Cricetulus griseus: one gene and its partners. The protein of the gene in region 2 purifies or fractionates together with the protein of the main gene of each other region. This does not show direct contact. Links are inferred from orthologs where the notes say so. Each region holds a gene or a part of one and is shown on either strand. Other genes may lie near its edges.

Evidence for each region.
Region 1: the proteins of Cdk8 (region 2) and Med23 purify together in Homo sapiens (affinity purification with mass spectrometry; 10 studies listed by BioGRID and IntAct, counting the BioPlex papers as one, with this or other methods). This does not show direct contact. The link is inferred for Cricetulus griseus from reciprocal best matches to the Homo sapiens genes CDK8 and MED23.
Region 3: the proteins of Cdk8 (region 2) and Med8 purify together in Homo sapiens (affinity purification with mass spectrometry; 7 studies listed by BioGRID and IntAct, counting the BioPlex papers as one, with this or other methods). This does not show direct contact. The link is inferred for Cricetulus griseus from reciprocal best matches to the Homo sapiens genes CDK8 and MED8.

What each region holds. Positions count from the first base shown.
Region 1 is NC_048595.1:244,073,593-244,083,530, forward strand, and holds part of Med23 (mediator of RNA polymerase II transcription subunit 23), read left to right. Parts: intron 1-820; coding exon 821-945; intron 946-2,397; coding exon 2,398-2,603; intron 2,604-2,688; coding exon 2,689-2,869; intron 2,870-4,271; coding exon 4,272-4,442; intron 4,443-4,966; coding exon 4,967-5,183; intron 5,184-6,538; coding exon 6,539-6,775; intron 6,776-8,486; coding exon 8,487-8,652; intron 8,653-9,274; coding exon 9,275-9,347; intron 9,348-9,938. UniProt on the Homo sapiens protein: Required for transcriptional activation subsequent to the assembly of the pre-initiation complex. Component of the Mediator complex, a coactivator involved in the regulated transcription of nearly all RNA polymerase II-dependent genes.
Region 2 is NC_048597.1:82,143,559-82,153,596, reverse strand, and holds the start of Cdk8 (cyclin-dependent kinase 8), read right to left. Parts: upstream 4,526-10,038; 5' UTR 4,380-4,525; coding exon 4,252-4,379; intron 1-4,251.
Region 3 is NC_048595.1:33,896,268-33,906,205, forward strand, and holds the start of Med8 (mediator of RNA polymerase II transcription subunit 8), read right to left. Parts: upstream 9,352-9,938; 5' UTR 9,337-9,351; coding exon 9,304-9,336; intron 8,673-9,303; coding exon 8,554-8,672; intron 7,702-8,553; coding exon 7,557-7,701; intron 6,984-7,556; coding exon 6,843-6,983; intron 6,663-6,842; coding exon 6,581-6,662; intron 6,061-6,580; coding exon 5,812-6,060; intron 5,050-5,811; coding exon 4,985-5,049; 3' UTR 4,959-4,984; exon of another isoform or gene 3,988-4,958; intron 1-3,987. UniProt on the Homo sapiens protein: Component of the Mediator complex, a coactivator involved in the regulated transcription of nearly all RNA polymerase II-dependent genes.

The DNA of each region.
Region 1 (9,938 bases), on a different chromosome or scaffold from region 2:
ACCATGTCACAGGTAGAGACTGTGAGAGCCACATTAGCAGATGAAGTGTCTTGCTCCTCTCAGGCCACAGTGGCAGACTGTACTCAGGAGGTGCCCGTTCTGCCATCTCCATATGATCAGTTAATAATGGAAGCTCAGGGCACCACCATTCTAACTAAGGGTTTTGTTTCATAACTGCTTTCAAACTAATTTGAAATTCCCAAAGATTTTCTTTTTATAGATTTCTATCTATCCATAAAGTCTATTAGTCATTAAAATGGAGAAATTTTAAAAAATAATTCATTTAAAAATACTATAGCATGTGACGTTAGCATAAGTAACATTTATGGGAAAAAAAAGTATTTTCTGCAACAAAACTTTAATGGGAAGTGGTGCTTTTGTTTTGATGTTTCATTGCCCTTCCATACGTGGTGAAAGGAACATAGGTGTCTTCTCCAGTCTGCTTCTGGTAGCAGAAGTATTATCTATTTATGTTGACACTGCTTTGGTTAAAGTGAGAGGCCCTTGTTTTCAGGCACCAAAACCAGACCTCTACTTCCTCAGTTCCATTGTTTTGACCCAGTAAAGATCATATTAAAAGTAAAGAGGAATCAAAAGTCCTTTGTTGTCTCTTCACTAATTGTGCTCATGTTTTTTAATAAAAAATACCTAAGTCCCTCCTGGTTATTTTCAGGGTAAGCGAGTTTAGGTCCTGAGTTACCACAGGTAAATAACAATGACTGTAGTGCACTGAAACACCTCCGAGTACGTGGCTACTTTCTGCTTTCTTGGCATTTTGTATTTGTGGTCACAGAGATCTGACTCACATCTGTTTGTTTAGATTTTTTTACAGGCTCAGACTCAATACAGGGAACTTGGTGTAAAGATATCCTTCAGACCATCATGAATTTTACCCCTCATAACTGGGCTTCACACACCCTCAGCTGTTTCCCAGCCCCTCTGCAGGTAATCTGGTCTGAATTACATATTAAATACACACTGAATCTTCCAATCACAGTGGCTTCTAGGGAGTTAGTCTTTGTGACAGCTAAAGAAAATTGGCTTTCATTTCCTTGTTGAAAATACTTGCTGATGGGGAAAGTCCTTCTGTGTTTGTTTATCTTATTGGTTGTTGAATAAAGCACTGTTGGCCAATAGGGGAGTAAGATAGGTGGGACTAGGAGTCGAGGAGGATTCTGGGAAATGTAGTAAAAAGAAGTCTTGTGATCCAGGCAGGAAGTGACATAGCAGGCAGACTCAGAATATAGGCAGGCACAAGCAGGAAATCACTCTCTTCCTCCCCCTCTCTTCTCTGGAGCCACCATGTGAGCCCGACAAGAGAGGAAGCATGCCGCCAGTGTCCTCGATCAGATAATTCTTTATAAAATATATAGATTAATAATTATGGCTGATACTTAAGACAGAGATAGCAGATAAGAAATCCTAGTCATTGGCCAGCAGCATTGTACCTAATATATAAGTCTCTGTGTGTTACTTAGGACCTTAACGTGGCAGCGGGTGGAACTGGGGAAGCTGGTGAAAAGATTTATTGTTACAAAAATCTCTTGAGTTGCTTCTCATCCTACTGAAGACTACATGTGTTTCTGAAAACATAAATGTTATAGTTTCATTTTTAAAAATGAATAGTTTTAGAATCTCACAAGAGTTAACACATGACCTGAAAAATTCTTTTCCTATCACTAAAATGGAGACAAATGTACTTTAATGAATGTCATAAAATATGTAGATATTAAAATTGACGGTGTTTGGATTTTTTTATCCATACAACAAAATTATAGCTGTGACTTCATAATAAAGAGAAAGGCAAACCTTACATATCTTCTGCTTCTCAGAGAAAATTTATGACATGGTAGACAATGGTGTTTCCATGACTTCTAGTGAAACTACAGCAGTGGTTCTCACATATTAGATTGCTCTGCAAAGCTTTCCAAGCTACAAATTTGTGGGTCCCAGCCTTAGAGCTTCTGGTTGACCGGATCTGGGCTAAGGCTTGAGGACTGGCTGGGACTGCTGGTCTGGGGACCATGATCAGAAGCCCTGGGTTATTGTAATCCATTTTCCTTATGGAGATAATAAAATGCGTAACCCGAGCAGTACACATTTCTTTTTCTTCCTTGTCTCCCTCCTCTCAAAGATTAGCAAAATATGATTGAAGAGACTTTGAATTCAAGCTTGCTTGGAATTTCTGTTGAGGAAGTACAGAAAAAGAAACTTGAGTTGCCAGTAGGCCAGCCTGTACATTTCCTAGTGTAGACATTCAGGCCTTCGTTACTGACTTACTCAAGGGAATTTAGTTTTGTAATGCCAGAACTGAATGCAGAACAGATTTCTCACCTCCATGTGTCCACTGTTCCTTTTACTATGTCCATTGGCATAAACTTTTGCTCTTCCTTTTAGGCATTCTTCAAACAAAATAATGTACCCCAGGAAAGTCGCTTTAACCTGAAAAAAAATGTGGAGGAGGAATACAGGAAGTGGAAGTCGATGACGGATGAGAATGAGATTATTACTCAGTTCTCTGTGCAAGGCTTTCCGCCCCTCTTCCTCTGTCTGCTCTGGAAGATGCTCCTGGAGACAGATCACATAAGCCAGATCGGCTACCGGTAAGCTGAGGCCTGGCTGCTGTCTGCTTCACAAAAGTGTTATCCATATACGAGGAGAGGTTAATTCTCACGCTTTGTCTTCTAGAGTATTGGAGAGAATTGGGGCCAGGGCCCTGGTAGCCCATGTGAGAACATTTGCAGATTTCTTGGTGTATGAGTTCTCTACATCAGCAGGAGGTCAGCAGCTTAATAAGTGCATTGAAATTCTTAATGACATGGTATGGAAGTATAACATTGTTACATTGGACAGATTAATTCTCTGCCTGGTAAGAATAAATAAATTTCTAAGCCTTCTTATCATCCTTTGATCAATCTGTATGAATGGGAGACCACATGCTGATTTCCTCTATTTGGCTTTAAAGACTTTAATGGATTCATGCTGCACTCAGGCTTCCTTAAAGAAAAAGAAATTTCTGAATTCTTCACTCAGTATATATTCAATATTTAGTATTACATTCACAAAGGTACAAAAGTGAATAAAACATATTTTTTTTTTCTGGCGTTGTGATGCTGTGATTCTCAGAGGCTTTCACTGGGGTTAGGAAGTAGTAAAAAGCCATTGCATTTCCTTGTAGCATGCTAGCTAATGTAACCATTCACTTCAGTAGTCAGAATTCAGACTGTTTCCCATTTATACCCAGCATGCTCCAAATGCTCCTTTGCCTCTGCCTATTGGTGTATCTCAAACAAAAGTTGTTTTTTTACCGGGCTTTGGTGGTGCACGCCTTTAATCCCAGCACTCGGTAGGCAGGCAGATCTCTGTGATTTCAAGGCCAGCCTGGTCTCCAGAGCAGGTGCCAGGATAGGCTCCAAAGCTACACAGAGAAACCCTGTCTCGAAAAAAAAGTTTTTTTTTTTTTTTCTTTTAAGTTTATTTTTATTTTTTATGTGTATTAGTGTTTTGCCTGCGTTTGGCTTAGACACCCCATGTTTGCAATGCTCATGGAGGCCAGAAGAGGGTGTCAGATCCCCTGGAGCTTGAGCTACAGGAAGTTCTAAGGAGCCATGCAGCTGCTGGGGATTGAACCCACATCCTCTGGACGAGTAGCCAGTGCTCCTAACCTCTGAGCCATCTCTCCAGCCCTTCAAGGAAAATTTTAAGAAAAGACTGAATTAGAGAATTAGACTGAAAAATTATATGTACACTTTTAAAAAATACAGTAGTGGCTGGGTACATTGGCACATGCTTATGATACCAGCAGATGCAGGGAGATTGTCACAAGTTCAAGGCCAGCCAGGGCATGGTGGTAATATATGCAGTGGCTTAGTTCATTGACATTGACCTCTTTCTGTGGAGCATAAACATACAGAGAGTTGTAATGTAGTAGGGGGCTAAGGTAAGTTGTAATGAAGGGAAAACACTGTCACACAACAAAGGGCATCACACATTACCCTCAATGACACACTGTCAAGGGAAGGTTTACTATAAGTTTACTGAATGTTTAATCTAAACATCCCTAGCCACAGGCATAGTGAACCATAAACAGGCCAGAAAGGGTCAAGTCATCTTTAGGATTGCTGGGAAATTGGTTTGGGGTAGACTAGACATTGAGGAAAATTGTAATACTATTGAGATTTGCTGTCTTAAAATTTAGCCTACTGGGTGGCAGGATCATACTTTTGAACAAATAGGACAATCTCAGTTAATTTTTCTGTTCATTCCCAAAGGCCATGCGTAGTCATGAAGGAAATGAAGCCCAGGTTTGTTATTTCATAATTCAGTTGCTGCTGCTCAAACCAAATGACTTCAGAAATCGAGTAAGTGATTTTGTGAAGGAGAATTCCCCAGAGCACTGGCTCCAGAATGACTGGCATACGAAGCATATGAACTACCACAAGGTACTGGCTCTAACGGGTTCTGCCTTGCTCTGCAAAGCAGCTTGGGGGTTGGGGGTTGGGGGGCACTCGATTAGTTGTAAAGTTATGCTAATGAATAGGATTAAATTGTAACTGCACTTTTAACACACATGGTTGCATATAAAGTGAAGAAAGCTGTAATAAAATTAATACAGTGTGTCTCTGGGGAAAGCTAGGGTGTCACCGATTTGCATATGCTTAGCACATGCCAGTTCCCAGCACCAAAAAAAATCAAAGATTGCTATTTTTTTAAAAAAATTAATATTTATAGTCCAGTGGTGGTGACACATGCCTTTAATTCTAGCATTTGGGAGTCAAGAGGCAGGAGGATCTCTGAGTTCGAGGCCCGCCTGGTCTATAGAGCAAGATCCAGGACAGGCTCCAAAGCTACACAGAGAAACCTTGTCTTCAAAAACAAAACAAAAAGATTAATATTTTCATTTTTTCTGTAACTCTTTAAGCATGCTTTTCTAAGATACTCTAAATGTCTGTCCCCTCACCCACAGAAGTATCCAGAGAAGCTGTATTTCGAAGGCCTGGCAGAACAGGTCGACCCTCCGGTGCCAATCCAGTCCCCCTATCTGCCCATCTATTTTGGAAATGTGTGTCTCCGGTTCCTTCCAGTATTTGATATAGTAATCCACAGATTCTTAGAGTTGCTTCCAGTGTCCAAATCACTGGAGACCCTTCTGGATCACCTAGGGGGCTTATATAAATTCCACGGTGAGTTTGTTCATGTTTTCATTCCATCTAATATCCTTTATGAGCAGACAGGCTGGGCTCTGCCATGTGGTAACAGTGGTTCTGCAGGTTTTAAAGTGCTGGAAGATAAGTGCAGTGAAATGATGTCAAAGATATGGTAAGACACACAGAGCAGGGCGATTTGACTATCAATAAAATGTGTCTTGGCAGGCCTCTGAATTACAACTTGAACTTTTGATGTAAATGATTTGTATGAGCAAGAGGGGTGAAAGAATATATGAGTCATTTTTTGGGGAAGACCCTGGTGATAGAAAAAAGGGCATATTTGAAGGAAAATTGCTTCATTAGACGGAATTAAGAATGTTTACCGAGGAGTTTCAAAGGAGACTGGAAAAGGAAAATATACTTGACTGCATGATCACATTAAATGCCAGTTTGGGTTTTAGAGCCTGAAGATGGTGGTCGGGTGGGGTCACTGAGTGGGACGTGAGCATGTGAGCAGTGTTTTAGAATACTGCCCTTTCAAAGCTTCCTCACAGCACTGGTGTAGAGTAGCCTCTCAGAAGCCGTGGGCTGTGACTAAAAACATGAGCCAGGAACACGACTCCCTGTGTGGCTGGTGCCTGCTTAGGAGACCACTGAAACCGTGGCCTTACGACTGGACACTGGAGCACGATGCAGGCCGTGAGAGACATGAAAGGCTCAGGGTAACCACAGCAGAGAAAAGCTGTCCCGGGGCAATTGTTAGTCCTTGATCTACAGTCTATGCAGAATAAGTGTCGGGTTCAAGGAAGAATGCCCTTAAAAACAGTGCTCTTTGGGTGTGGGAATGCGGTGTGTAATGGGTATGCATGTCTCCAGAGCTGGCTGTAACTCTGAGCAAGCACTGTTACAGTTGCTGAGGTCCCCTTCCTTAGATGCTGTTCTGGTTTCTTGCTGTTTGTCTCTGTAATAAAACCCTGTTCTGTACCAGGTTCTTTCTCCTGTTGCCTGTATTAAGGTTGACTCTTAATGTCAGTGCGTAAAGACCTGCCTCTCACTGTGACCATTTCCCAGTCCTATGTTTTTTGGCTGCTTTAACAGTTGCTAACCTTTTGCAAGTGGGAACAGGGCCGTAGCTGACGTCAATTTTTGCACAATAAATTTACTGAGGTGAAATTGTTCACTCAGAATAACTACCATCCTTAAATACTGCGTATATTAGTAGGACTTTTCTGGCTGACTGGGATTAAAGAACTCATCAAATGTAGTTGTTCAGCCCGTGAAGTAGTGTCACAATCTTCTTAGTTGTTTTCATGTAGTCTTGAAAACAACCAGTTCACTTTTAAACTTGTCAATAACCTGATAAACACGATGACCTGTTTTCTTCTTGGCAGACCGACCAGTGACTTATCTGTATAATACTTTGCACTATTATGAAATGTGCCTGAGAAACCGTGACCATCTCAAACGAAAACTTGTCCATGCAATCATCGGCTCCCTCAAAGATAACCGGCCACAGGGCTGGTGTCTCAGTGATACTTACCTGAAGCATGCTATGAATGCACGGGAGGACAATCCTTGGGTTCCAGAGGACTCCTACTATTGCAAGCTGATTGGCCGACTGGTAGACAATATCCTTTCTTCTGTCATGTTTCTTCACTCATTAGAAATAGTAGTACTTTAGCTTGTGAACTGTTTTTAAGGTAATGTTTTATGTATATCAAAACCTCATTTTTAGTTTCTTTTTTTTTTTTTGAACAGAGCCTCTGTGTTGCTCAGGCTGACCTTAAACTCCTTGCCTCAAGAATTACAACTGCAAGTGCACACCACTGCACTCCCCTTCAGTTCTTCGGGTGGGTGGGTGGATGGGTGGTGGGTGTGTGTGTGTGTGTGTGTGTGTGTGTGTGTGTGTGTGTGTGTGTGTGTGTGTGTGTGTGTGTGTGTGTGTTCTGAGACAGTCCAGCTATGTAGTTACAGCTGGCTTGGAACTTGCTGTGTGGACCAGGCTGGCCTTGGACACACAGATCTGCCTCCTAAGTGCTGGGATTAAAAGTGGCCTTAATGATTGTCATCTCCTTTTGAAATCTTAAATTGCATCATTATACCAGATAGGTGGGAATTTTCTCTGTTGCTATTCATACTTAAGAACAGACTTTAAAGACATTTGTTTCACAGTAGGAACTCTTACTTCAATTTCGTATACTATGTCTTACAGTGCAAGTATGTAGATGGAGTTTTTCTGTGTCATGGCAACCGCTCCCAAATAACCACACAGAGACTTATTGATTATTAATGCTTGGCTGATAGCTTCGGCTTGTCTCCAGCCAGCTCTTGAACTTAAATTAGCCCATTTCTGTTCATCTGTGTGCTGTCCCCAGGCTCGTTTACCTCATCTGTGAGCTCCCCATGTTGCTTCTTCCATATCTGGCTAGTGACTCCCCAGACTCTGCCCTTCTTCCCAGCATTCCTCTGCCCCCAAAATGCCTAGCTATTGGCATGTCAGTTCTTTATTAACCAATGAGAATAATACATATTCAGTTACACAAAAAGGTTATTTCACAGCACAGGTGTCCATTTGCTCCTGGAGAGCATTAGTCTTGTTACTTTAAAAGAATCCTTTAGAACCAGCTGTAGTGGCACATACCCCTAATCCTGGCACTTGGGAGACAGAGGCAGGAAGACTTCTAAAAGTTCAAGGCTAGCCTGGGCTGCATAGCAAGACCCTACCTTAGTTAGAGAATTAAATAAATAGTAAATCCTTGAGTACTTTCAAAACATACTGCTGTTAATAGACAGTAGTTAAGCTTTGAACTAAATAGCTGTAGTGTTGATGTTTTTATTTCTTCAGTTTGATTTCATGTGTACAGTTATGAGCAAGTCTACATAACATGTCTGTATACCATACCAGTGTTGTTTTCCTAAACAGGGGAATATATTTCTTAAGGTAAAAGAATTACACATTTAAAAGTAATTTTTATGTGAAATAGTCCTATAGCTGTAAAAGAAATAGCCTGAAGAAGCCTGAGGACACCTGCTTGTATGTGATCCTGTCTCCTGCTTGTATAGTGCCTGTTTTAAGAGCCATCTGTAAGAGCAACCACTTGTGTTTTCTGGGTATTGCTCAGTGTGCTTCAGTCATGTCATACTTACCTTGTGTTTAGTTTGTACTGTTTATCCTGTTATGTATTAATTGCAGTAAGTTACTTCTTGACAGCCCATAATCAGATAAGTGGATAATCAAATGAGATGCCTTCATTTAAAACATTGTGAGATCTGTAAACATTATATAATTGTGTCGTTAACCTCAGAATATTCTAAATGTTTTTCCTTAATCATTTGCACCCATGGCTGGCAAGTCTCCTGGGCCCTTCCCAAACTGTGACTGGAGATTCAATGAGTTCCCCAACCCTGCTGCCCATGCCTTGCATGTCACTTGTGTGGAACTCATGGCCTTGGCAGTTCCAGGCAAAGATGTTGGGAATGCCCTTCTAAATGTCGTCCTGAAAAGGTCTGTGTCCTTTTTCATGTAGTAAGAGTTGGTTTATTTCTGAAGCTGTTACTGTCGGGCAAACCTGTGCCCCAAATTGAGCACTGTGCATAATACCCGTCTTTTGGTTCCCAGTCTCATCTCCATAGTGTAAGTGTAAGAGAATGAATGATGCTTGGATTTGGAAGAGCGAGGTTTGTTCACATTGATGCCTCTTATCACCTGCTTGTCACTAATTAACTTGTCACTAATAAGTCTCTACAGATCCCCAGGGACAGGGGATGTAGCTTGATTTTAGAGCACTTGTCTAGTAAGTGCTAGATGGTAGGTTAAGTCCCCAACCAAAACCCCAACCCGCACAAAAAGTTTTCTTAGAAGATCAGCAAAAAAAGTAGGAAATAACGATTGGGAGAAAGTAGAAATAAGTTCAAATAGTCTTTTCAGCCCCATAACTATTGTTAAAGGACACACACACACAGGACTTATTTTGTTTGTATTATAGTTTTTTTCAATTAAATGTCCATTGTTGTTTGGAGTTGATCAATTGTGAATCTTCTTAATCACTTTTGTTTTCAAAACAAGATCCTTGGTCAGTCATATAAAATGTTTTAATAATTTTACATTTTTTTCTGTCTTCTTGCAGTCAGCCCTTGGTGCCAAGAGAGAACATTACAGCATGGATGAACGCAATTGGTTTGATCATCACTGCCCTCCCGGTGAGTTCCTAGCCGTGGTTTGTACATCCCAGTGTTCACTGCATGGTAGTGATGCTGTGAACTCACTGTTCACTGTCGACCCAGACAAATAGGTGTACACAGAGTGAGCCTACAGTGGGATAGCGTGAGCGTTAATGAACGGTTTCATTCTTCAGTCTTCCATACCATTACTTTTTAAAATATTATAATGAGCTGGAGATGAAGCTCATCTAATGCATGAAGCCCTGGGTGGGAGATCCAGCAGCACGTGAACTTGGTGTGGAGGCACACACCCATAATCTCAGCACTTGGGAGGTAGAGGCAGGAAGATTGACGTTTTCAGGCCATCCTCAGCTACAGCATCAGTTTGAGGCTAGCCTGCGCTACCCGAGGCCCTGTCTCAACACATACACACAGTTCTGATCACTATTCTCTTGCCATTCTACTGCAGTTCTCAATGTGTCTACTAAACTTACCAGTCTCTGCCACTACCAACTCACCTAGCCAGCCTTCATTTCTGTCTCATACTCTGATCTGTTTTTGGCCAATTAGCATGTTATATGTCCTGCCATCCCTCCTGCACACTGCTCACTGAGAAATAATTTAGGTCTA
Region 2 (10,038 bases):
ACCCAACTTTTCTCATCTTCCAAGAGCCAACCAAACATTGCTTTCTCCATAAAACCCCAAAGTAATTCAGAGCTTCCTTCTCCAAATTACAATTAACATTATTATAGTACTTATTAAAATTGCTATAATTTTTGACAAGTTTGTTTTCCCAGGAGATAATTCCTCAAATAATGCAACGTTTCAATTCTTCGCCTTTCCAATGATTCAGAGTGGCCCAATAGCTAAGTGAATGAGTTTTTCAAATCTTAGAAGTCTCAAAGTAATAGTTCACATGAAAACTTCCAAATGACTTCTTTTTTGGGGGGCGGGGGGGGGTTTCCGAGACAAGGTTTCTCTGTGTAGCTTTGGAGTCTGTCCTGGAACTCACTCTGAAGAGTAGGCTGACCTCAAACTCACAGAGATTCTCCTGCCTCTGCCTCTCCAGTGCTGGAATTAAAGGTGTGCACTACTATCGACCAACCCCCCAAATGACTTCTTAACTTGTTAAACCTTGCAAACAAGCCGGGCAGTGATGGCGAACGACTTTAATCCCAGCACTCGGGAGGCAGAGGCAGGCAGATCTCTGTGAGTTCGAGGCCAGCCTGGTCTCCAGAGCGAGTGCCAGGATAGGCTCCAAAGCTACACAGCTGTCCTGTCTCGAAAAACAAAAAACAAAACAAACAAACAAAAAAGAATTAAACCTGGAAAATGACTCAAAACAGGAGCTAAAAATGTACTAATCGATGCCATGTGGGTAAGACATGCACCATAAATATTACTCTTGTCCCTTCCCATCACTCTTTTTTTTCTTTCTTTTTAACCCCCTCTCCAAGATAGAAACTCTGTGTAGCTTTGGAGGCTGTCCAAGAACTTGCTCTGTAGAACAGGCTAGCATGGAACTCACAGAGATCTGCCTGCTTCTGTGTATGCCACCATTGCCTGGCTCCCATCACTCCCCCCCCTCCACAGGGTTTCTCTGTGGCTTTGGAGGCTGTCCTGGAACTAGCTCTTGTAGACCAGGCTGGTCTCGAACTCACAGAGATCCGCTTGTCTCTGCCTCCCAGTGCTGGGATTAAAGGCATGTGCCACCACTGCCCAGCCCCATCACTTTTTTTTAAAAGGTTGTAAGGAACACTCATTAATGCACATCCAAACTATCCAAAGACTCAAAACTACAATAAACATTGAATCTAGAGTCCCTTGTGCTGACTCCCCAACAACAGACAACCATGGGAGCAGGTACTAACTAACCCAACACCAAGGTGACAAAACGAATGTTGGGTAGCTTTTGCATCTTTGGGAGTTGCCCAATTTCTCAGGATGCAGAAAAATTCAGAGGTTAAGGTTACTTGTTGCTCTTGCAGAGGACCTGGGTTTGACCCCCAGCACACACATAATGATTCACAACCATCCATGACTTCAATCAATCATATATGTGGTGCTCATTCATATACACAAAATAAAATTAAAAAGCACAAGAGGCTGAAGTAGGAGGACTGCTTAAGTTCAAGGCCAGTCCGAGCTACATACAGAGTGAGTTCCAGGTCATCTTGGGCCATATCAACTAGCAGATTCAATTGTATCTAAGGTATCAGTGGCAGACAGGGATGCTGTCCGGAGTCTTCAAGCTAATTATATGAAATAAAGTGGTTAAGGGCATGGGCTCCATTTTAGCCCATGCCTTTAGTCCCAGGACTCAGGAGACACAGGCAGGCAGGAACTCTGTGAGTTCCAAGCCAGCTTGGTCTACAAACCAAGTTCCAGAGCTGTTACACAGAGAAATCCTTTTTTTTTTGGGGGGGGAGGGGGCAGACATGGGATGTGCTCCAGAGTATATACACCGCAAGGACATTCTCAGGTCCTAACTGACATTGCTACTCACAGGACAAATCTGCTTAACTTTCAACGGCTTAGTTTCCTCATATATGAACTGAGGATAATAGGATTGATTGGTTTTTTTTTTTTTTGGGGGGGGGTGTCTCGAGACAGGGTTTCTCTGTGTAGCTTTGTAGACCAGGCCAGCCTCAACTCAGAGATCCACCTGCCTCTGCCTCCTGAGTGCTGGGATTAAAGGCATGCACCACCACGGCCCAGCTCAGATTAAGAATACTTTTGTGAGACCAAGTACCATGGTGTCTCAAGTGCCACCACAAGAAGCAGAGGCAAATGGATCTCTGATTTCAAGGTTAGCCTGGTCAGTGGTCTACAATCACAGCTGTTTTAATTCTAAAACTCCCATGGCATTTGATTCACTACAAAAATTACCAAAGTCCATCACAATAAACAGAATCATTCAAGGCTGCTGGAAAACAAACCCAAAACATAAAAGCTTAAAAAAAAAACCAAATGCAAATATTCAATTGCAATTACCATAAGTGATTAAGAAATACACACTAACACCAGCTATTTTTTGTTGTTGTTGTTTTTGAGACAGGATTTCTCTGTGGCTTTGGAGGCTGTCCTGGAACTAGCGACCAGGACATAGATCTCTCATAGAGATCTGAGTGCCTCTGTCTCCTGAGTGCTTAACATCAGCTATTTTTAAGATATGTAATTTCTTCTGAAATTAATCTTAACATCCTAGATGAAAACTTACCATCAAGATGTAAAAGATAAAGTAACCCCTGCATATACATCATATACTTAAAAAACCCACAATCAAACACATCTGGATATTTTATTAGCCTAACTTGGCAATGTATGAAGCCAGAATTGGCTCCTTTCACAGGGCCACAAAAATCACTAGCATTCTTAAAAACACAACAGATTGGACAATGTACTACACCATATCAAATGTCTTGGGAGTGGAGATGTTATGACCATGTTTCAAACTATGTGATACTGAGGGATGGAAGATGCTTTAACCCTCTGTAGAAAACTTTGCTGCAAATTCAGATGATTTCTTTAAATATAATTCATTAATAAAATGTTGACAAAACAAATCTAGTCAGACAAGAATCAGCAGCAAGGGCTCTGGATGCCACTCACTGCTATCCATTTAAAGCCACACAGCACCCAGAACACCAAGTTTTCCACCACTACCTTCTGCCCATATCTTCGTGGTTTCATTTTTGCACAAAAGCACTGAAATACATTATAAGAAGGCTTAATAAGGAGAAGTGTTTAATAAACTGACACTTCCTTTTCCATTATCCAGACTACTAAAGTATTTATAAACAAGCTCCCTTGGAAAGAACTCCCCGCAACTTTAAGGTTTCACTTTGTAGTGCTAAAGCAGTTCTGAATATGCACGCCTGTGAATATGAAAAAAAAAAAAGTCTTCTAAATAGTAAAATAGCAACTAGTCAAACAAGGGATGCTCAAGGAAAGCTGTTTCCAATAAACCCCAAAGATTATATAATAAGCTATGACAATCTTTCCAATAATTTCCTAGTGTCAAAGGCAACAGAAATAATACCTATTTGTACAAGAGAAAACGGGAAATTAATAAAGATTTTCTCCCCAACTAACAATTACTTTCCCTTTTGTTAATACTACAATGCAGTCATCTACTGACAAAGGAAAAAATGAGAGCTTCTATTTACTGTTAAGAAGCAAAATTAAGAGCATTACCAGTCATAGGTTTATTTCTTGTTTCTAGGGGAGAATTTTTGAAGCAGGAAAGATTATTTAAAGTTCACTGGCAGCTGATAAATTCTGGTTAAAGAGCTTGCACAACATAGCCCCGATTATCTGTCACTTGCTTCCCCCCCCCATCCACTCTGCACCAAATCCCCATTGTTCTATATAAAACCTCACAGCTAATGATACCTGAATAGCAACTGCTACTTTACATTACAGATGATCCTCCATGGAACTCTCCAGTCCCACACTCACTCGCTGTCTTCTTTCCCCCATCAAATCCAAATTTGGTCAACTGTTCACAATTGATAAGAGAAAAAGATCTCGGCTTCTCTTCCAGACTGATAGACATCACTCCAGAGGCGGGTGAGTTAGTCCCCAAAAGGTTACCGTGATAAATCGACCAAAGAAAAACACATTCGAACTGGCATTTTATAACGATTAAAAAAACAACAACAAAAACAAAAACACTGTACTGAAATCCACAAAAAAAAAAAAAAAAAGGAACACTGCCCATGAGACAGACGGTCCTTCTCCCTCTTGCACGCAGGGTTTCTTGTGTATTTGGATTCCTGGGACACCACTTCCTCCCCAAAGCAGGCTGACCGGGACAGAGGCAGAAGTAGTGGCACCCTGGCTGGCCACCTGCCTCTCAGCCTCGGGGACTCCCGCAGCGACACCCACACTCACCCATCTTTCCTCTTCGCCTTGTAGACGTGCCCGTAAGTGCCTCGACCAACTTTGCAGCCCTCGTATTCAAACAGGTCCTCGACCCGCTCCCGTTCGCTGCTCAGCTTCACTTTAAAGTCATAGTCCATTGTCACAGCCTCCGAGGCCGGGGTGCTGGGGTGGGGGGCCGAGGGCCGCGGTGGAGACCGGGCCGCGCGGCAGCCGCAGCCCCCGAGCTACACCCGCCGGCCGCAGCACCAGCCCGCCTCACGCGGCGACGGCAGGAGGCCCCGCGCGGGCGCCGGGGACATCCAGGGGAGCGCCGGGCGGTCCCCGCGGGCGCGAGACAGCCGAGGGACGCGCTGGGGGCGGGGAGCAGCGTCCGCCCTTGTCCCGCGCTCCCGGGGCGCCGGCTCTCGCGCGCGGTTGGCCGCGCGTGCTGCTGCGGGCGCGGGGCGGCCACGGCTGGCTCTGCTCCTCGCCCACGCGCGTCCGAGCCTCACCTTCTCCCACACGCGCTCACGCACACTCAGGGTGCCATCAGCCCCGACAGACCAGCGACGCCACACAACAGCCGGTAGCTTCTCCGAGAGGAGGAGGAGGAGGAGGAGGAGGAGGAGGAGGAGAAGGGAGGGAGGGAGGGAGGGAGGGAAGGAGGGCGGGCGGGCACGGAACCCGGCAGACGCTGTCGTAAAAAAGGTCGCGAAGCCTCGCGCTGACTCCGCCCCATCTGCGAGTGGCTCAGGAGGTGGCAGCCACCCCTTCTGACGCCGGTACGCGAAAGGGCCTCGCTCGGCGGCAGTGCGGAGCTGCTGACAGACTCACCACCACGTGGACCAACCCAGTCGGTAGCCCGGCCAGAAACTACAAGGCTCAGAATGCCCGGGTGCCTGCTGTAGCCGCCTCTTCCTCGACGCCGCGAATTCAGAGCGATGCATGATGGTATTGGTAGTCCATCACGCAACGAATTTCGGTTGCATGGAGATTATTTTTCCCCCAAAGCGTTATCTCTGCAATCTAAATTAACCCATATAAGCTTAGCAAAAGACACTGTTTAGCGAGGGGGTTATTTTGTATTGGAGTCACTTCTGAACTTCAGGATTTAAACGGCATTATGGCTGCTTCCCCCCCCAAGCCTCCAGGTTTTAATACTACAAATAAACTACGTAATTGTATTCATGGCTTGTCTTCCTTCACCTGACTGTATATTTCATGAAGTTCTCGGGGTTTGTACTTGCTAGGCAAGCGTACCATTATACTTCCAGTCAGGTAAAGCTATTTTCACTGCACTGAAGATTGAACCCTAGTTTTCATTTAAGTCTGTTGACAAAAAACAAAAACAAAAAACAACCCAGTTATCACCTCGAAGACAATAAGAGTTTATTGTGGAGCCAAATATGAGTGGCGACGGCTTAGAAACATAAATTTAAGTTACCATAAATTCCAACTTGTTAACAGTTTAATGACAATTTTATACCAAGAGAACAAAACAGTGAAGGGGGCTGGGGGGTAATGGTAGATGACAAAAAGCTTGACACATGTTGTCGTTTGATTTCTGTTACTGCGATAAACACCCTGTCTGCACACAACTTGGGGAGAAAATGATTTATACCAACTTACAGGTTAGTCAATCATCAAGAAACTAAAGCACCTTTTTTGTTTGTTTGTTTTTAAGCCATACATGTATATGTATGCCTGTAATACTAATGCTAGGCAGGCAGAAAAGGCGGGATCTCTGTAGCAGGATGGCCAGCTAGTCTTAACTGAAATGGTGCGCTCAAGGTTCCATGACAGACATCAACCTCTAGCCTCCAGACATGTATGCTTACACCTGTACAAAGAACACGTATACACACATTGGTGGAAACATCCAGGACGTTGGTGATAGAAGGCAAGAATGCATCTGCTAATGGTCTTACACGTCCTCTAAAGGCTAATTCTTAGCTTTTGGATTGGTGGGAGTTAATGGTCTGCTTGTGTATCCTAGAAAGATTTAATCAAAACGAAGATGCAGATTGGGGGGGGCGGGGCTTCGGTTCACAGCTCCCCCTGTTGGCCAAGCATCACACCTTTGTGTTGTGGAAGCCTAATATGTTGCACACTGTGAGGAAGGTTTGTCTCTAGAATCTCATAAGGGTGAGGATGAATAGGCAAGAAAGGCAGGGTTCAGGAGAGACAAGTAGCTAGTAAAGACATTAAGGAAACAACAATAACAAAACCCACCTGGATAAAATCAAGTTACATCTATTAATTATAATTATCCAAATCTAATTTTCCCCTCCCACCTCCACATCTGACATATGTAAAACACAATAGGGATATTCCACCTACAATTGAAATAATCCAGAATGGGACCGGAGCCGTAGCTCAGTGGTTAGGAGCACTTACTGGTTTTACAGAGGACCCAGGTATAGTTCCCAGGACCCACATGGAGTATCATAACTGTTTGTACTCCAATTCTAGGGTTCCAGGACCCACTTCTGGAACTGACAAACATGGTGCACTTACATACATGCAGGCAAAACACTAATATATAAAATGAAAAACAAATATTTTTTAAAACAATAATTAAGAACGCAGTATAAGCTGGGCAGTGGTAGCACACACCTTTAGTCTCAGCACTTGGGAGGCAGAGGCAGGTTATCTTTGTGAGTTTGAGGCCAGCCTGGTCTATGGAGTGAGTTCCAGGACAGCTAGGGCTACTCAGAGCAACCCTGTCTCAAACAAACTAAACAAAATGCAATGTGACCCAAATATGTAAATACAACAGAGAGACAGAGGAAATCAGGTCTTTTTATTCAAACCAACCAAACCCTGTAATTTTAAACCAGTTGGTCATGTTTCCCTTGAGTCTATGTTGCTTTTTACTCTATGAAATATTTCATTGGATGTTTAGAAAATTTTAAAGTATTACCTTTTAATTTTAGTGGATTTTTAAAGTCAATTTTATTTTATAAATATAACCTCATAAAGAGTGATTAGTTTGCCAGGCAGTGGTGGCGTACGCCTTTGATCCCAGCACTTGGAGGCAGAGGCAGGTGGATCTTTGTGAGTTCAAGGCCAGGCTGGTCTATTGAGAGTCCAGGGCAGCCAGGGCTACACAGAGAAAACCTGCCTCAAAAAACCCAATAAATAAATAAATTTAGAGAGAAAAGGGTTAGTTCTAATTTAGGAGAGATTGGTCTTAATATCTAAGCTACTCTTTTATTTATGGGTAACAATTTGATATGCCCAGTTATCCAGTGTATTGGAGCAAACTTCAATTTTGTGAAGTAAGTGGAAAAATTACATTACAGATGAAATTGGGTAATAATATAATAGTAACTAAAATTCCCCTATGGAGGGATACTATTGCAGCCCAGATACAGCAAGGAGTCCCCCCAAACAATATGACAGACTTTGAAGGTCCTTGGTGGAGGGCCTCACTATCCCTGGGGAGGAGTGGGGGTGGGGGGAACATGGGAGGATGGGAGGGCGAGGGAATGGGGGGGATGGATATGTAAATATGAGTAATAATCAAAGAATTTAAATAAAAAATTAAGACAAAAAATCCAAAAAATAAATAAATAAAATAAAATTCCCTTTTAATAAAATTATATGGAAGTTGGGGAAGGTTGTTTATGTACAAAAATGAGGTCAGACTTCTGAGAACTCAGGATTCCAAGGATTTTGTAAGTATAAGGTACTTTTAATTTTTAAAATTTTATTTACATAATCAAACCTTACTTATTTTATAGTAAAAAGGGAGAAAGTTCAATAGGAGTCACATTGTAATATTGTATAATAATGTTTTTTTAAGATTTTATTTATTTAATATGTATACAACATTCTGCTTCATGTATATCTGCACACCAGAAGAGGGCACCAGATCTCATAACAGATGGTTGTGAGCCACCATGTGGTTGCTGGGAATTGAACTCAGGACCTCTGGAAGAGCAGTCAGTGCTCTTAACCTCTGAGCCATCTCTCCAGCCCATAACTTTTTTTTTTTTTAAGAGAGAGGATTTCTCTATTTAATAACGGCTGTCCTGGAACTCACTGTGTAAACCAGGCTGGCCTGGAACTCAGAGATTTTGCCTGTCTCTGTCTCCCGAGTGCTGGGATCAAAAGTGTGCACCTGGTAGTATCAATTCACTTTATCAGCAAAATATAATTTGTTAACTTTTAAAATCCCGGATAATTTTACTATAGCACATTTTAAATATTCACCAAGAAACACAGGTGCTTGGGTAGAGAGATGGCTCTATGGATAAGAACACTGCCTGCTCTTCTAGAGGACCCAGATTTGATTCCCAGCACCCACATGGTGACTCATAACCTTCTTTAATTACAGTTCTAGGGGACCTGACACACTTTTCTGGCCACTGTGTGCATTGAACACACCTATTGGCATGTACATACACTCAGGTGTGGGTGCATGCATGGGAGCTCTCGTGCACACATGCATATACATACATACATACATACATACATACATACTATTAAATATTTTTTAAAAGACAGCCTCATGAGCTATAAAAAAAACACCAGGCAACTGTCTATTTAAAAATAATAAGGCCGGGCTCACGCCTTTAATCCCAGCACTCGGGAGGCAGAGGCAGGTGGATCTCTGTGAGTTCAAGGCCAGCCTGGTCTACAGAGCGAGTGCCAGGATTGGCTCCAAAGCTACACAGAGATACACTGTATCGAAAATAATAATAATAATAAATAAGGGATGGAGAGATGGCTCAGAGGTTAAGAGCACTGGCTGCTCTTCCAGGGGTCCTGAGTTCAATTCCCAGAAACCAAATGGTCATGGTGGTTCACAACCTTGTAGAATGAGATCTGGTGCCCTCTTCTGGCCTGCAGGCAGGCATGCAGGCAAAATACTGTATACAAAATAAATTTTAAAATCTAATAAATAAATAAGGATTATATAAAAATTTTAAAAGGACTTAAGATATACAAAGCATATACAAAGCATGTTTAGCATTAATGTTGTCAAGAGGTTTTGAGTTTAGACACATGGGGTACTCTCCTGCCAATGCAGTTGAAGATGAGAATCACCTGTTTTCTATAGTCCTGAACACGTTTGCAGGAGTTGGCATTAGTTTGAGGTGAGAAATAAGAATCTGTGAGTCTTCAGGCTATTTGCAACACAGGAGGCAGTTACAAGTTCCTGAAGGAATCCTTTTACAAAGGCTATCTTTTTTTATTTTTTCCTACTTGTTCTTTTCCTGGGGCCTCACTGTGGGGAAAACAAAACAAAACAAAACAAAAACCTGTTAACTAATACTGAATTTTCAGTTATCATGTTAAAAGTTCCCTGTAGGTGTATGGCTCACATCAACAGAGAAAGATTACACAGATTTTACTTAATTACTTAATTTACCCAGTACTTAATTCATAAGGAGATAATAGATGTTTCCCAAAAGATAGATCTCCCTGGACATTGGTGGCTCATGCCTTTAATCCCAGCACTTGGAAGGCAGAGGCAGGCAGATCTCTATGAGTTTGAGGCCAGCCTGGTCTACAGAATGAGTGCCAGGATAGGGTCCAAAGCTACACAGAGAAACCCTGTTTCAAACCCCCCCAAAAAAAAAGAAAAAAAAAGAAAGAAAAGAAAAAAGAAAGATCTCAGATTTAGAAGATTGAATGAGAGTGTCTCAAGCAGAGGAAGCTAAAAGCTTTAGCAAATTTTGACAGATGTGGTAATAATTATTTTGATCTAACAAATAAAGCTGACAGACAGTGGTTGCACAAACATTTACTCCCAGCACTTGGGAGCGAGAGACAGACAGATCTCTGTGAGTTCAAGGCCACCCTGGG
Region 3 (9,938 bases), on a different chromosome or scaffold from region 2:
GCTAAGAGTTCTAAACCAGCCTAGATTAGATGAGAACCTGTTTAACCCCCTCCTCCAAAAGAAATATGGTTGACTTTTTATCAGACAGGATGATAAAGCAAAGTAGTAGGAAAAAATGGAGGCCTGAAAGAACTATTTAAAAGGGGCTCATATTTTATGGAAAGGCAAGTAAGTCTTTGACCTAGTTGCCTGTCTTCTGGCTTATCTTGTTGAATTGCTACCTACTTAATCTAAAAAGAGGGCTGAGAGCTGAGTGGTAGTGGTAGCAGCGGCGGCAGCAGCACACACCTTTAATACCAGCACTCTGGAGGCAGAGGCAGGCAGATCTCTGTGAGTTCGAGGCCAGCCTGGTCTACAAAGCAAGTGCCAGTATAGGCTCCAAAGCTACACAGAGAAACCCTGTCTCCAAAAAGAGGGCTGTAAATGTAAATCATCACAGAACACTTGCCTATTATGCGTGAGGCACTGGGCTCAATTTCTAGTGTTTTTTGTCTGTCTGTCTGTCTGTCTCTCTCTCTCTCTCTACTCTCTCTATCACACACACACACACACACACACACACACACACACACACACACACACACACACACGTGTACTGGATTTGCATTTCATTTTCAATCACCCTCAAGTAAAATGAAAATCCCAGGTTGATTTTATCCTATGGCTTTTATGCCTGGAACACTGTCCCTACCAACTCGCTAGTGACTCCCACTTTGAGAAATATAAGAAGTGAACTGTCAAAAAGATTTTGAGCAAGGGAGTAATAGGATCAGATCTGCAGTCTAGAAAGATCTGGCAGCTTTGGGAAGAGAAGCTGGAGTTTCCAGATGTAGATGTAGGGATACTGTCTGAATAATATTTTCACTGAGGGTGGCCAAAAGTGCAACTTAGTGCAGATGGGTTAGGTGTTGGGGAGACACACTAACAGAGCTTGGCAGTGATACAGGGGAGGTAGCTGGGAACATATAAGAAAAATAGTTAGGATGCTCCCATATTCCTGGCTTAGATTATTTCCAGGAAAACCAGAGAACAGGTATGAAGGGAAGGATGACTGGGTTTAGACATCCAGAAGCTGTAGTAACTATGGGCCACATAGGCAGGGATTTCAGAGTTACACAAAGTATAATTTTCTGGACCGGAAAAATCTTTCCATACATTTATCTTGTTCAAAGGAGACAGATGTTTGAGAGTGGGAGGTAACTTCAAATCCACAGCTACTTCACCACCTCCTTTTTGTTTGATTGTCTGTTCCAAGCCAGGGTCTCACTATGTAGCTCTGGCTATCCTAGAACTTACTATGTAGACCAGGCTGGACTCAAGTCATAGAGAGCCACCTGCCTAGGATTAAAGGCATGTGCTAACAATCGGCTACCTCACACCTCTTTGATTCATCTTCATGAGAAAGGCACAGAAGCTAGGAAACAGTGCCGGGGCATAGTCTAGAGCAGCAGTTCTCAACCCCTGGCGGGTCAAGACCCCTTTGAGAGTCAAACAAGTCTTCCACAGGGATCACTTAAGATCATTAGAAAACAGTATTTACATGATTCTTAACACTAGCAAAATTACAGTTACAAAGTAGCAACAAAAATATTTTGATGGTTGGAGTCACCACAACATGAGGGACTGTATTAAAGGGTCACTGTATTAAGAAGGTTGGGAACTGCTACTCTAGAAGGCTCATGACAGAGAATGTTAGGAAGAGCTGTTAGAGGTTTGAGGAATTTAGGAAATTGGCCCTATTCAAGTAACAAAGCTATGCAGCAAGGAAAAAAAAAAAAAAAAAAAGACAAAGCCCATACAGGTGGCCTTGGGAGTCAACATCAGACTGCCAGACTAGAAAGATCACTGGGATCATTCAGGTGAGGTAAGGGAGGCCCAAGGAACTCAACAGCCTTGGTCTATGCCATACTCAGGAAGTGTAAGTGTCCAAGTAGTGGCTCACATTCTGAGTGTATGAGAGTCATAACAAGAGACATTAGAGGAACCCAGGGTCTGCCTCAGTGACACCTGGGAGACAGGAACAAGAGAGACATACTGTTAAAGAAATTTGTCCTGTGGGATAGAGTACATGTCGCTGTCCAAGTGGCACGATGGAGCACCATGGCCTGCCAGGCAAGTCACCTGGGGTCCTATCAGTTTCTAAATGCTAGCCTCTGCACATTCCAGACTTTGAGGAAAGATTCACATCAAACCTTTCTCTACAAGTTGGTGCTTAACACTCAGGGCACAATTCTTGGTCATTCTACTGGCCAGTGACAAGCCACAAAAGGCTCTGCTGCAGCTCCAATCTGGAGCACACAGGAAAAATGTCCAACCCTTAGTAGTTCCACTGGACATCAATCAGGAGCTGAGCAGGGTGGGCGTTTGGAAGACTTCAGCCTCCGTCCTGCCTAGTGCTGGGATCAGCACACACGGCTCCTGTGTCCACAGGACACAGAGAATACATTGTCCATAAGGAGGATTATTCTGTACAAGAAACTCAGACAAAGGGAGAGGTTGTTTCCAGCTGCTTGGGGGAGGTTTGGAGGGGGGTGGAAAAGAGCTCGGCCTCACATCGGGGCATTCCTGCTGAGTTCAGCTTCTTCCTTTCAGCAGCAGGGTCAGAGGTGGACAACCACATCCTCTCTAGCCTGTACCTAGCTAGTGTTGGCTCTCTACAGAGCTACAAGGAACATTTGCCTACAACCTACCTAGCTTAGCTATCTTAGCATAGTTGAGCATGGTGAAGCAGTTAAATAGGACAGCAATTCACACTGGAAGAAGAGAAAGAACAGGTGACCAGGGCAATCAGCAATGGCTGAATCCCAGCCTCAGGGCAGAACTAGAGAGAGAGGTCTTAGGCAACCTCCTTGGGCTTAACATTGATTCCATAAGCTTCCACCTTCAGTGGGATGAACTGCTGTGGGAAGACTTGACGTTTCACGCCTGCTGCTGCTTTCTCCATCCCAGAACAAACCTGGGAGACAATGGAGCAGACCTTTGTCCATCTGATCCCCTTGTCCAAGGGCCCCAAATGCAGCAGAAAGTACATTCCCCAAGCAGAAGACAATGGTCAGAAATAGGAATGCTAGAGTAGTGCAAGTCATCTACAAAACCCAAGTCTGAGCAAGTAAATAGTTTTGCCTTTTTCATGGGCAACTCCATATACACTCCTGAGAGACCAAGTAGTAGGGGTTCCATACTTTCCATTGTGGGGGAACTGGCATATGAGCCCCAAAGTGGGAGATCAGCAGGTCTGTATGCTGAGATGTCTGGAGCTTTGAGGAGAGGAGGTGGTGGAAATGACAGCAAATAACAGAAGTGTGGGTGCCTCTACCACCAAAGTGTTTGCTTAAGAGATGTAGGTGAGACCTGAATGTTCCTCCTGCAGCAGGAAGATATTGCTGTTCTTGGAGGACAAGACAGTCGTTTCAATAGTATGGTGGGAATGAAGTCAGTTCAGCTGGTACAATGAAGACGCCCAGGGTTGGTTACAGGTGGAGTAAAGGCTAGCAGTAACCAAAAGATACTCTGAGAGTCTGGAAATGTCCAGCTAAATTCTATTCAATACCCCAGTTAGCTTTGATGTTTAGTGGGAAGGGAAAAGATGAGAAAATAAACAACACCTGGACGGGCTAATGGGCCAGCCAACTTAAGTGGGGAAAAGATTTGGCATTGCTCAGAGCAGTTAACAGGATTCTCCTGGTGTAGTGTGTTGTGGTCAATTAGCTTTGTCAACACCACCTATGTCTCCACAGACCAGCAACAGAGGACCACTTTTCCAGGCCTTTGCTGCCACAGCCTGGTAGAATGCTGTTTAACAAAGACCAAAGACCAGAGCGCTAGTGTGTGACAGAACAGAACACAAATAGTGCAGCTGGAAGGAAGTCTTTGTGTTTTTAAATACAAGAAAAATTAAAAATAAGGGAATACTTTAAGGAGAACAAATTAGAATTGCCTGGTAGATCATTCATAAATTTCAGTCAGACAACCCTGAGCCAGTGAACATTAATTTAAATAACTTTATTGAACGAAGAAACCTTTTGGTCCACTTCTGCTGACTCAATCTTTGCCCTTGCCCACAAAAGAACGCTGAGGAAGGCAACATGGCTGCCTGTTCAGTTCAACTCTACAAAAGCAGGCAAGGTGAATGGGGCTGTTGCCCTTCCCACTTTCAATCTGGATCTTATCTGAGCCACATGTTTAGTGAAATGGAAGAGGACAGAAACAGGGAGTAGTTGTTACTGTGAGGACAAACAAACCCTGATAAATGACAGTGTTAAGCCCAATTCCTTTCAAAGGCGGAAGACGGTATTTTATGTGTGTTATTGCCTGACAGGGCCATCTCCTAGGAAATCTCCCACCTATTGGTCCCTAGACATCTTCATAAGCAGAGCAGGGTAAAAGATGGGCACTTTTATCCATTTCCCAGATAAAAACTGAACTGGTTTCATCAGATCTGTAGGTGGACAGTGTCCCAGCCCAGAAACCTCTTTGCATGCAGCCTGGATGGAGCCAGCAGGATGGAACCTAGGCAGGAGAGCCTACAGAAATAATACACCTCCAAAACATGCAGGCTACCCTGGTTCCTGGATTACTTGATCCTGCATCCATTAGCTCGCCAATGTCATGGAGCTGTGTAAATCACAGCAAGTTCTGTTTGCAGGACAGAGAATAGCAGGGTGGAAAAGTAAGAAACTATCATTTATTCAAGGCCCAGTAATTCATATACCATGCTAAGTGTTTTACATTCATTTTCTCATTTTAATCCTCACAACAACCCTATGAGGTAGGTATTATCACCATTTACAAATGAGAACACAGGCTCAGAAAAATTAGGTCACTTTCCCCAGGTCGCATAGCTATTCACAGTGGAGCTGAGATTTGTCTCTTGCTGAAAGCCTGTGTTCTTTTTATTGTACCCATCTAGGTAAGTCTGAGCAAAAGATAATTTCATTCCTCAACTCAGCACAGATCACCTGAGAGTGGAGGCTGCTGTCCACATTCACCGCTGATAGGGATGCATTGAAGCTGACTTGATGTTCGTTTTTATTCCACTTGGCATTTTCCCTAAAATTAACACAAAGAAAGGCATCTGAAACAAGGTAAACTTTCACAATAAATCAGAAATGCAGCCTCTCAGATTCCTGTCAACTCCTATATCTCAGAATCTCTGCAGCCTCTGATTCTGGATGGCAGAGATTATAGGCTGTGGCTCTTCAGCCAGGTCCCTCACTGAAGATATCTAGAAGGAAAGGGGTGATCTGAAAGAAGACAGAAGGGGTCTGAAGAGTCCCTTCTCCCCTCCTCCCATGGGCTTCTGCTCATCTACTTCTGGAAAAGACAGGCATGTGGCCTATGTGGCCCCTGTTTAGTGTCACAGGTAAAGAGTACTGTGTTCTCTGTTATTTTAGTTGTCCTTTTCTCTAGACAGCCTGCAGAGACACCTTTGCAGCTGCTCCTGCGCAGCCCTCCAGACTGCTCTCACAGTAAGTAAAAATGTGTGTGAGCAATGCTAGGAAGTCAAGACCAAGGGACAGGATGCAAGGAAAAAAATCCCAGGAAACTGCCAGGTGTTGATTCTTGATTAAGGTCTGGTCACTTATTTCTCTATCTAAGAGAAACATACTAACATCCAGAATAAACAGGACAGTTGAGACAAAAATCTGAGATGGAAGTAAAGGTCCTTCTTCACTCTCTGGTACCCGTTGCAGAGCTTCTAACTGTCTTCTGAGTGGCAATGGAAGGAGGAAAATCTCCAAGGCTGGAGTTGAAGGAGGCTTAATCTAGCTCATTCCCACACTGCTGCACAGTTAGCCCACATCACCCTACCTGGTTGACCTGCTTGAGCCATCTGGACTCCACTGAGCATTGTCTGCTGCTGGTTCGGAGCACCTGCCATCTGAACTTGCTGTAATCCTGAGGCTCCTGCAAGGATTGTACCAGCTCCTGGCTGGCCGGGTTGGCCAGGACCACTGCTACCTGAAGGTCTCCAATTAGACAGCCCCTTCCCAAAGGCAACAGCTGCCACTAAGGCATTGGTGTCTGCAGGGTTGAAAGTCTGCTTGTTTGGCCGGAGACCTTAAAAAAAAAAAAAAAAACAAGAACCCTGAAGTGTGTGTTCCACTCTCAACCAAACCCAGCAGCTGTGAGGCCAATGATGACCACCAGGGCTTACAGTTGTGACTGCAGAAACACCTGGAATCAATCCCTCCAGCCCATCAAAGAGCTCAAAATCCCCAAACCTATCTTTAATTTTCACTTTGTCCATTTCTTTCATTTGCTTTAAGGCTAGTCTTAAACACAAAACACTAACAGGGTACAGACCCTTTCCTTGCCAGTTCATTCTTCTGTTTTAAAATTGGATTTACTTATTTTGTGTGTGGTGGTCAGGGGACAATTTGCTGGTTCTTGCCTCTACCATACAGATCCCAGGCATTAAACTTAGGTCAAGCTGGCAACTGGTGCATTTGCCTACTGAGCCATCTTGCCAGCCCAGCAGTTCATTCTTATGTCCTCACTTCACTATTACACAGACTATCATTCCTATCATAGTGGTCGTATACAGTTCTCACTCTGTTCTGCCAACCAGCCTCCTTACCTCCACTCTCTGATTCTCGTTCCTCTTTGCTAATTTTCTCCAAAAGGTTTGAGCACATTTTATTCAAGCTCTGGATCTGCTTCTGCAACACACAGGAATTGATGTAGTGATTAGAAATGACTCTGGGAAAGCATCTTCCTTGTGCTCTTCCAAAGGCAGCCTAGCTGTAACCAACCACAGACTCCTACTACCCAGGCTTGGTAAAGTCTTGCTTCTTATGAAGGGATGGGGATGGGGCAGCAGGGCAGTGACTCAGTCCAACCTGAGCTGCATCAGCACCAATTCTGGCAGCATCTGTTGTCAGCTGCTTCTCCTGCTCTTCAACTTCAGGGTCAGGCTTGGTTCTCAAATGGTCAGGGACGACCTCATGGCTGAAAACAGGCACTCGTCCTTCAGTCTGACGCTGTAACACAGATTGTATTGATCCTATTGTGCTATCCAAGTAAGCCGATTCTAACCCAGTTTCTCTTCCGTGGGAAACTGCATTTTTAGAGACAACACAACCTGAGACACAAATGTAGCTTTCTGTGGCTTTGTCTTTTCACATACACTCTATCAGAACTAGGACAAAATAAATTCCACCCTCCACAACCGCACTGTAATTTTCTTTTTGTTGTTGTTTCTATTTTGTTTTGGTCTTTCGTGATTCCCCACCCCCATTCTGGGGACCAAACCAGGACTTTTTTCTACCACTGAGCTAAATTCCTAACCCCACATTTTAAAGACTGATTGGACAAAGTTACAGGCAAGCAGAACAGACTTTTTTTTGGAAAAGAAAGGTCATGGACTTAGTTGACATGGCCTTGGCTTTCACAACATTATTTAAGAGTGACTCCTGACTCCAGAAGGACAAAAAAGCAAGTCTTCCAGATAGCAGCCCCTACTTTTCATTGCTATACAGAGGGTCCAATCAACAACTGTGCTCCAGACTTTCATTTAAGGACCTGATTTCCCTGGTTCAATCCTTTCTTCTTACCATGAGGTCTTCATCTCGATCTGGGGACAGCACCAAAGGGATGATGACCTGGTTACGGAACAGTGGTGTCTTCTCATGCTTTAAGACCTTGTTCAGAGTGTTCAACTGTCCAGAGAGCAATGCAAAGCTATCCAGGACAGAGGGCCTGCGGGTGGTAGGAAGTCATCAGAACTACTTTTCCCTATAAAGTAATCTCTAAAGTTCTAATGCTGGAACACCCAGACTCACCCCCAGAAGACTCACAGCCCTATGACTAGCCTAGGCAAGAACCAGATTTTCTAGCAGAGATGATGGAGTTGGGAAAGAGGAGCACACTGTCAATTTCCAACACGGACACACAGACGTAGAAAAAAAGCAACTCTTTTCCTTTTGGGGGGGTGAGGGGGCAGGGTTTCTCTGTGTAGCCCTGGATGTCCTGGAACTCACTCTGTAGACCAGAATGGCCTCAAAATCACAGAAATCCACCTGCCTTTGCCTCCTGAGTGCTGGAATTAAAGGTGTGTGCCACCACTGCCAGTCGTAACTCATTGTTTGAATGGGATTGGAGGTAGTGGAAAACAGAAACTGTGGTTACACTGTGGTAACTAAAAATTCTTTAAGTGGATAAAAGCCTCCTTTCTAGCCTAGTTAACAGAATCCATCATTCCAGAGTAGGGTGGATCTCAGATTCAGCCACATCTGTGGAAGGAGATCCAGCATGAATATAGCTTTAATGGTTCCCCACTGGGGGAACACCTCCTCACCAAAGAAGTCAAAGCGTAAGAATTAAAACCTCGAAACAGCCTACGTTGGGAAACTGGGCATTTCTCTACTTCCTTGCCATGGAGGCTTTAAGCCAAACTATACTTGTCAATGTTGGGCAACCTAGTTCTTGCCAAATCAAAAAGGATATTTGCAAACTGATAAATAGTTACATCATTGGAGATGTCCTGTCAGCCCGGGGGCTTGGCCCCACCACCCATGGATTCCCTCCCCGGCTTGCCCTGGCAATCCTTACCAAGTCAGCCGGTCATACTCGTTTTCCAACTTGTAAATGAAACTCCCCAGTGAATTCTTCAGATCGGCCACTTGATTCAGCAGTGCATCTAAGGATGCCTCAAGCTGCTTCTCCTCCCTCTGCATCAACAGTATGCTTGGTTACTCAGATACGAGCGATCGTGGCACATACAGAAAAGCTAAATTGGTTTCTATCTTGGTATTTGGGTTACAGACAGCATCAACCCTTAGACCTTTCAACCTGTTCACCTGGCCTGAAGTCCTCTTACCAATTGATTCCTTCTATCAACCTCCTACACTATGGCCCTTCAAAAGGAACATTACACCAGACCTAATTCCCTTCTGCTTATGACCTCACCATTTTGTCTTCATAACAAAACTGGCTTAGAACTGTTTATCACTTAGCCCTTCATCTTTTCACTTCGATTCTCTTCTCCTCCCAGCTCAAAAGACTGCCTCTCTTAAAAGCCAACATTCTCTTAATCTGCAGATGCTCAAGCCAAAGCACAATCTTCTTTGTTAAGTCTAGCCTTTTCTGGAAAACAGTCTGCCTACCACGCAGCTGCTTGATGTCCTAACTCTGCTTTCCTTGGGCATATAGAGAATCCTTGTATTGTGTCATTCTGTGGAGTTGGTATTGCCACATTTCTTTCAGAAAGTTCAGTACATGTTAGAAAGGTTTGCCAAGGTAACAGGGGTGCTGTCGGCATATAAGGCCAGAAGGCACACCTGAGGTTCATTATCTCATTACCTCATGGGTGCCTCTATAGTACATGCAAGCCATTATCCTCTGCCCTGTGAGTGCAGCTACTCTCAACACAATCTGGAGAATCTCACATTTTGCCCGTATCTGAGGCTGTCTCTGAACACCAGCTCTGCAGCTCCCCTCCCCAACTGGTCCTTTGCTGAGTCAATGTGTACTCCTGCATCTCTGTGCCAGTATTCCAGTGTCTCTTTCGTAAACTCGGGTGACCCATAAACAGTCACTGTAGGAATACCAGGTGCAACAAACTGAGTAATGGAAGACAAAGGCGAGGAAACCAACACATTCTTTCTGGACGTTAGACAATTTTAAATGCTGTGTTGGCAGAGGGTTTCCGTTTGACCATCTGTGGTCTATTTACTCCACTTCTGCGCCCTAAGCAACGGGGTACAAGGCGGGAAGAATGACACAAAGCTGATTTGCAAACCCGAGAATGTGAAGGATGAGGTTGGATACTAGGTTCCACCCACAGCCTCGGATTACAAACTGCTTAGTTTTCGTCCTTGGCGGCCCACAATCCCTTCAGCCTTCTGAAGCCTTGTTGCGCCTGTGCCCAACAGTCGAGGTCGAGGGCTGTCCCAGCCCACTTCTTTCTCTAGCCTTCCCAAATGCCAATTCGATCC